Rattus norvegicus: one gene and its partner. The protein of the gene in region 1 interacts with the protein of each later gene in a biochemical or structural test. Links are inferred from orthologs where the notes say so. Each region holds a gene or a part of one and is shown on either strand. Other genes may lie near its edges.

Evidence for each region.
Region 2: the proteins of Hnrnpa1 (region 1) and Psmd9 interact in a test that uses a peptide from one of them, tested with the Homo sapiens proteins (3 studies listed by BioGRID and IntAct, with this or other methods). The link is inferred for Rattus norvegicus from reciprocal best matches to the Homo sapiens genes HNRNPA1 and PSMD9.

What each region holds. Positions count from the first base shown.
Region 1 is NC_086025.1:136,253,055-136,256,803, reverse strand, and holds the start of Hnrnpa1 (heterogeneous nuclear ribonucleoprotein A1), read right to left. Parts: upstream 2,687-3,749; 5' UTR 2,646-2,686; coding exon 2,631-2,645; intron 2,587-2,630; exon of another isoform or gene 2,229-2,586; intron 2,089-2,228; coding exon 1,972-2,088; intron 1,716-1,971; coding exon 1,569-1,715; intron 1,398-1,568; coding exon 1,187-1,397; intron 1,101-1,186; coding exon 1,008-1,100; intron 921-1,007; coding exon 828-920; intron 681-827; coding exon 606-680; intron 403-605; coding exon 244-402; intron 1-243. UniProt on the Homo sapiens protein: Involved in the packaging of pre-mRNA into hnRNP particles, transport of poly(A) mRNA from the nucleus to the cytoplasm and modulation of splice site selection.
Region 2 is NC_086030.1:39,015,397-39,019,145, forward strand, and holds the start of Psmd9 (26S proteasome non-ATPase regulatory subunit 9), read right to left. Parts: upstream 2,869-3,749; 5' UTR 2,809-2,868; coding exon 2,671-2,808; intron 1-2,670. UniProt on the Homo sapiens protein: Acts as a chaperone during the assembly of the 26S proteasome, specifically of the base subcomplex of the PA700/19S regulatory complex (RC).

The DNA.
Region 1 (3,749 bases):
AATCCAGCTATGTCTCTAACTACCTCATGTGGAAGGAAGACACTAACCACTCATCCACCTACTCATTTTGGGGGAGGCGGCCCCAGCTTAAAGCCAGGAGGAGGTAGCATAGCAAGCCTATTTGCACGCACCATGCAATGTACCTACAATGCTCTAAGAGCCAGCCGTGAAGTCTGAGACGGGCATAAACCCTGGAAGTCTCATCTAGCTCCGCACCAAGTACCTGCGTCACTGGATACCTACCACTACCACCGCCAAAGCCGCCTCCGCCTCCTCCGTTGTTATAGCTGTCATAGCTGCCACTCCCGCCATAGCCACTGCCCTGGTTTCCATAACCCTGTCCACCACTTCCATAGCCTCTGCTTCCTCCAGAGTAACCAGGGCCGCCTCCTCCATAACCACCTACAAGAATACAAGTCTTCTCAATAAGACAAAAGTATTTAACAAGAAAAATCTACGCAAGTTAAATAGCTAAAGGCTGCTCAGGGCATGCATTTTACGGGGCTGACTGAACTTTGTCATGCACTAGGTTTAGTCTCTAGTAGCCTATTCTAAAGGTAGAGGTCGCCAGAAACCACTCCTTACAGACTCCTTAAGAAACTTACCATCATTGCCAAATCCATTATAGCCATCCCCACTGCCACCATATCCACCACCACCACGGCTGCCACCAAAGCCACCTGGAAGAAACCAAAGCTTTAAACCAGGCTTTGTACGTGAATGAATACTTATCAAATATCAAAACCTGTAAGTGCTGGGGACACAGGGTAGCAATTACTAGTTATAAGTTCTAAAACCAACAAGGAGCCAAACAAAGCCATACACACCACGACCACTGAAGTTCCCTCCTCGACCAAAATTGTCATTGCCACCGAAACCACCTCCACGACCACCACCAAAGTTTCCGGAACCACTTCGACCTTAAAAGAAATTTTGGATCATTAGGTTAACCTGTAATAACTAACAGTGTCCTCCTCACCCCAAGTCTAACCAAGCAATAAACACACCTCTCTGGCTGGATGAAGCACTAGCCATCTCTTGTTTCGACAGAGCCTTTCTTACTTCACAGTTGTGGCCATTCACAGTATGGTATTTCTGAACTAAGAGGAAAAATTAAATTCAGGACTTTTAAAAAAACATGTGAACTCCAGAATCATAAAGGAAAATGTAATCCTCTGATACTTACTAACAATCTTATCCACAGAGTCATGGTCATCAAAGGTGACAAACGCAAATCCCCTCTTTTTTCCACTGCCTCTGTCAGTCATAATTTCAATCACTTCAATTTTCCCATACTGCTCAAAATAATCTCGTAGGTGATGTTCTTCAGTGTCTTCTTTAATACCGCCAACAAAGATCTTCTTCACAGTTAAGTGGGCACCTGGTCTCTGAGAATCCTAAAAGGAAAAATGACTCCAGTTATTTAGTAGCAGCACATTCCTAAATGATTGACACCTGTGGTGGCACATGCCTTTAATTTCACTCAGGAGGGAGGATCTCCCAGTTGAGATCTGCCCCATTACAATCTCAGGTTAAAAAAGAACCAGCTATTAGGAAAAACCACTCACTTCTCTTGACACAGCTCTCTTAGGTTCCACAACTCTTCCATCCACCTTGTGTGGTCTTGCATTCATGGCAGCATCCACTTCCTCCACAGTGGCATATGTGACAAACCCAAAGCCTCTGGATCTTTTGGTGTTTGGATCTCTCATTACCTGTTTAGAGTTAATTCAATCAACACAGTGCCTGATCACAAAGCCAAAAAGTCATTCCTAGTCAGAGCGCTGCAAACATGAAACTCCATCCAGAGTCAGAAAATAAAAAGCTCTTTTACAGATCTTGTTAGCAAAGCTCCACAACGATGATTTTTAGTATCCCATTAATTAACTTCACAAAACATTTAGCTAAGAAGCGTCAAGGTTAAATCAGAAGAAATAAGGCAGCTCTTCCTTTTGTTTTTTTAAATCTTACCACACAGTCGGTGAGTGTTCCCCATTGCTCAAAATGGCTCCTCAGACTCTCGTCGGTTGTTTCGAAGCTCAGCCCTCCAATGAAGAGCTTCCGCAGCTGTTCCGGTTCCTTGGGGGACTAAAATAAAGTGGGGGAAAGAGGGGGCTTAGTGGAGGGCCTGAAACTTGGGCGAATGAATCAACACCATTCATCAACACACGCCACACTTTTTTATTGTTCTTTATTACTGCACAAGACCACGTGCTCCTTCCTGGGCTTGACTGGGGACTCGAGTTGCACGCGGCGCATGCGTCCTGTTACTTCATACGCAGGCGCAACAAAAGACACAGGTTGGTCTGGTCCATCGCCATTAAGACTTAGTATCTCTTTAACAAGAGATCATTAGACCAGATAGGGAAAAACGAAAAAAAGGCCACAAACCCCAGATCGTTAAGTGTAAGAATTCTGCCAAAAGGAACAGTGCGTAGAAACTAATGGCTGTCGGATCGCAGCCTCATGGTGACTATGAGGACAAAATGGCGACCTGCATTTTTTAAAGTAGGCCTCAGCAGTAATCGATCAAACACCGAAAGCACGGGAGCCAGCGACAAAACAGGTCACATCCCGTCATATTCAGTAAGTGTGGAAGAAAGCGAAGCTGCAGAGCGCGCTCAACTCACCTCTGACTTAGACATGACGGTAGGATGATGAGAGCGTTCAGCGATGCTTCCTCGCCAGCGTCAAAGAGCAGAAAGGAATAAGATAGCGAACGTGTCCGGCAGCCTACCTTCTGCTCTCCCTTTTATCCCGCCTCCTCGCTTTCGGCATTGGTAGACTCCGCCCTTGCTTCAGTCTTATTGGAGATTTGAAATTGTTCCCTCCCACCATTGGCCTGTAAAAACGCCCTGCTAAGAAACGGCATCCGTTTGGGCGTTCTACTCAGTCCCCGCCCCTTTGAGTCATTGACGCCCCAAGGGATCTTATTCTTAACCACATTGATTGGCTAGCTAGCCAGTAATTTATATTTGAATGTACTCACGTCTTTAAATGTGTTTTATACCTTCCCCACACCCGAATGTTACAAACTCACTCGGCAAAGGACGATACGTTAGAAAGTAGTTCGCCGCGACTTTTCCCAGCTATAAAGCGCATGTGTAATAAAAATGGCGAGTTTACGCCGGCGCAGTACGAAGTTCCGCCTGCTGTCTGGAACACGTGAAATGGCGGGCGGGAGAGGGATACGAGGTTCGTAGGCGCCTGCGTAGTGGAGGGACCTGTGTTCTGTTTTGCGCAGGCGTTTTGGGCGGAGAAAAGGTCCAAGCCCGGGATTGGTTGCGCAGGCGCAGGGAAGGATCCGTTTTGGCGGGCGGTTGGCATTGCGCAGAAGGCGGCGGTAGCGGTGGCTTGTGGTGCCGCTTTGCCACAGAGGAACCGTGCAGGCCTTAGTGTGAGTGATCACTTTAGATCCCGGGTAAGTGGCAGAGTCTTGTCTACCCGTACGAGATCTTGAACCTGCTCCAATTGCACCGGTTATTGTACGAAATGAATGGACCGCTGAACTGGGGGGGGGGGGGAGACGACGGTGAAGGGGCCGCGACGGGTCGGGCCAGCCAATAGGACAACTGGGGCGGGATGTTTTATCCTTGCAGGTTCGGTGAAGCTGCGTTGCCGAAGCGTTTGACTGGCGAGTGTATAGGCCAATTGGGTCTTCCTATAGCTGCCTACCAACCGGTCCTTGGGCCATCGGAATGTGGGAGGCGGGTTTTTCTTGCCTGAGTTGCGTCTCTCCGAGCCAATGA
Region 2 (3,749 bases), on another chromosome or scaffold:
CTACTTCCTTCCATCCTGTGGCTTCTCTTTTCATATTCTTGACTAAGTATTATGAAAGGGGAGTTTTTAGCAGTGATATCTAATTTATCATTTTCCTTTCATAATTTCTTTTTACTTTTATGTGGGGGAGGGACTGGGTCTCACATATGTAGTCTAAGCTGAACACCTGAGAGCCTGTCTTTTTTTTTTTTTTTCCCTGTTTTGTTTTTCTGTTTTCTGTGTAGCCATGGCTGTCCTGGAACTCACTCTGTATACCAGGTTGGCCTCAAACTCAAACTCAAGAGATCCGTCTGCCTCTGCCTCCCAAGTGTTGGTATTAAAGAAGTGAGATACAACCACCCAGCTGGGAGCCTGTCTTTTTAATTAATTAAAAATCAGAGCAGACTTTTAAGCTTCAAGCCCTCAGCAACCAAAAACCAAGTTAGTCAAAGCAATTAGCATACACTCTTACCTTACAGTTAAGAGAAAACAGCCTCAGATTTTGTGCAGCACAGTTATAATTTTTCCTCTTATTTGGTTTTTAATGCATGTGTTTGTGTGTATGCATGCAGGGGTACCTGTGTGTGCACATACATATGCATGCCATGCAATGAGCCGGTCGCAGGATAATCTCAAGGGGGCATCCGCAGGAACACTGTCTACCTCCTTTGAGACAGGGAGTCTCACCAGCCTACAGCTCGTCACACAGGCTAGACTGGCTGGCCATAAACCCCGGGGATCTTCCTGTCTCTGCCTGTCCAGTTGGGATTACAGACAAGGACCACTATACCCATGAGTTCTAAGGACTGAACTCAGGTCTTCGAGTGTGTGAGGGATGCATTTGACAGTAGCTCCCCAGCTCCTCTACCTACCGCTGGTTTGTTCAGACGGGGCCTTGCTGTTTCACTGGAATTCTCTGTGTAGAACAGACTGGCCCTGAACGTGCGGCAATCTCCATGCCTTTGCTCCCGTGAGGTTGCAGGTATACAATACCGCACCCAGCTAAATAGTAAAGAATAGACCAATACCAAAAGACAATATGTGAGGTGTATGATTCTCCTTGAGTAGGCAAGTAACTTCAGTTTAAGAAATGAGTTTTGGGGGTTGGGGATTTAGCTCAGTGGTAGAGCGCTTGCCTAGCATGCGCAAGGCCCTGGGTTCGGTCCCCAGCTCCGAAAAAAAGAACCAAAAAAGAAAAAAAAAAAAAAAAAAGAAACGAGTTTTGGCCAGGCGGGGATAGTGCACGCCTTTAATCCTAGTACTTGGGAGGCAGAGCCTGGTGGATCTCTGCGTTTAGGACAGCCAGAGCTACAAAGAGAAATACTTATTCGATCAACAAAACAAAAACTGCTTTTTACCTACTTTCAGTACAGGTCTAAGGTTTGCCAGCCCTGAGGTCTGTGACTTAAAACAAGTGACTTCTTACTTACACACACACACACACACACACACACACACACACACACACACACACAGAGGTTATTATTTTTTAAAAGAGATTTGTGTCTGTTTAAATGTATCCCCGAGCATGTGGAGTTACAGGTGTTTGTGGGACACGTGAATTGTAATACGGTGAGTGCAGGATTTGAACTCCAGTTCTCACGATTATGCAGCCAGTGTCTTTAAACTCAGAGCCATCTCTCCAGCCCCTGACTCTGCCTCTTTGAGCTTCAGGGACACACACGACTTAACAATGGAGTTGTGACAATCTCCTGATACAACACACATACAAGATACTACCTTTCAGGCATATGGTCAGCACCTACCTGGCATATAGAACCTCTAGAGGATCCATTATGTGACACCTGTCCCCCAGGAGTCATTGCACCCAGCCTATCTGAGTGTGATTTAGCCTCCCCTTCCTCTACAAACTGACTTGTGGTTTTAAGAAAAATACATCTGCTTAAGAGATAAACATCACTGAGCCAACCACTGCCTCTTTGGTGCATCTGCTCCACTCTGGGCCTCAGTTTCCCCATTTACAGTAAGGGTAATGCGCTTTATCTGTCATTACTCAAAGGAGCCTTAGTAGCAGAGGTGGGAGTTATCCCGAAATACAGAGTCTTTTCCCCACCCCAATTGGAATCTGCATTTTATTTTTACTTTGTTTGTTTGTATGTTTGAGACAAGGTCTAATATAGCCCAGGCTGGCCTCGAGCTTACTGTGTAGGCAAGAATAACCCTGAAGTTTTGATCCTCTTGCCTCCACTTTCCAGGTGCTGGGATTAAATAAGGATGTCTTCCCTGGCTACAACATGCAATGTGACAAGATGCCCAGTTAATTCTCACAGTTGACACTTAAAAAGTCCTAATGAAAAGCGGGGTACAAGGCGCACCAAACCTTGTACCATTACCTATAGAAGGTGACAGTGGCGATTATCACTATGCCTCAGCAAATATTCTATCCCTGTGACCAAGGCAGTTTAACTAATGCGTTAGGCCTACCACGGTGGCACAAGTCTGTGAAGGATCACGAGTTCGAGGCCAGCTTGGGGCTGCGTTAAAAACAAACAAACAAACAAGAAGCTTAAAAATGCAAAGTTAATGCTTCCGAAAATGAAAATAAATCCCACGTCAGGGGAAAGTACTTAAAAACGGCGTCTGGCCCGCAGCAAAGGCCCCCTAGGATTCTGCTTGGCAGGAACCCCAAGCCTCATCACTAGGCCTCCCCATCCTGTCTGCCACACTCACGCTCTCGAGGACGTCGTAATTAGCCTTGATCTGCGCCTCGATTTCCTCCTTGCGTCGCATCAGCTCCTGGATGTCGCTGACCGCGGCCGCACGGGCCTCAGAGGACTCTGCCCGGTGCCGGACTTCCTCACTCGACATCGCGGACCTCAGCCTAAAACGCCGGACGCCAGGTTTCCCGGCTACGGACACCGGGAGGCTGGAGCTACGGGTCCTCCCAAGGGACAAAATACTTCAGCCAATGCACAAGTACTGAGTTTGGAGGTGGGGCGAGGTCACCGGAAACTCCAGCTAAATAGACCACGTGGTTTTCAGATGACCCGGCAGAGCTAAGTGGAGACAGGATGACGTAGGCTTTTTTTTTTCTTTTTTTTTTTTTTTCCGGAGCTGGGGACCGAACCCAGGGCCTTGCGCTTGCTAGGCAAGCGCTCTACCACTGAGCTAAATCCCCAACCCCATGACGTAGGCTTTAACTCTCGTTTTATACGTGACTTATTTCCACTTTTCTTTCTCATTCCTTCCTTTCTTCCTTCCTCCCTTTTTCATTCTGCCCCTGTTTCTCCCTCCCCCGTTTTTCAAGATAGGGTTTCTCTATGTGCCTCTGCCTCTTGAGTTCCGGGATTAAAGCCACCACATCCGGTTCACACATAGTTTTCATTCACTCAGCCTTCACTGGTCACCGGCTGTATGAAAGTGAGAGAATCCAGTCTTGCCGATACACTTCAGTTCTTAATATCTACGAAGCCCCTGAGCATTTAGAAAAATGCTTTCAAGCGATTTGCTGCCTTTCTCAGACAAGATCAAGTGTATCTCAGACGGGCCCTCAAACTCGCTCTGCAGATGAGGAAGACCTTGAAACTATTTCCAAGTTTTTAGAATTGGAAAAAGGAGTGGGTGTTCCTGATCCCCAATATTGCATAAACCATACCTGGTGGTACATGCCTGTAATCTCTGCCTGTGGAGGGAGGGTCAGATGCTGGGCACTGAAGAATTAGGTTATAAAAAAGAGGACTTGAGGGCTGGGGATTTAGCTCAGTGGTAGAGCGCTTACCTAGGAAGCGCAAGGCCCTGGGTTCGGTACC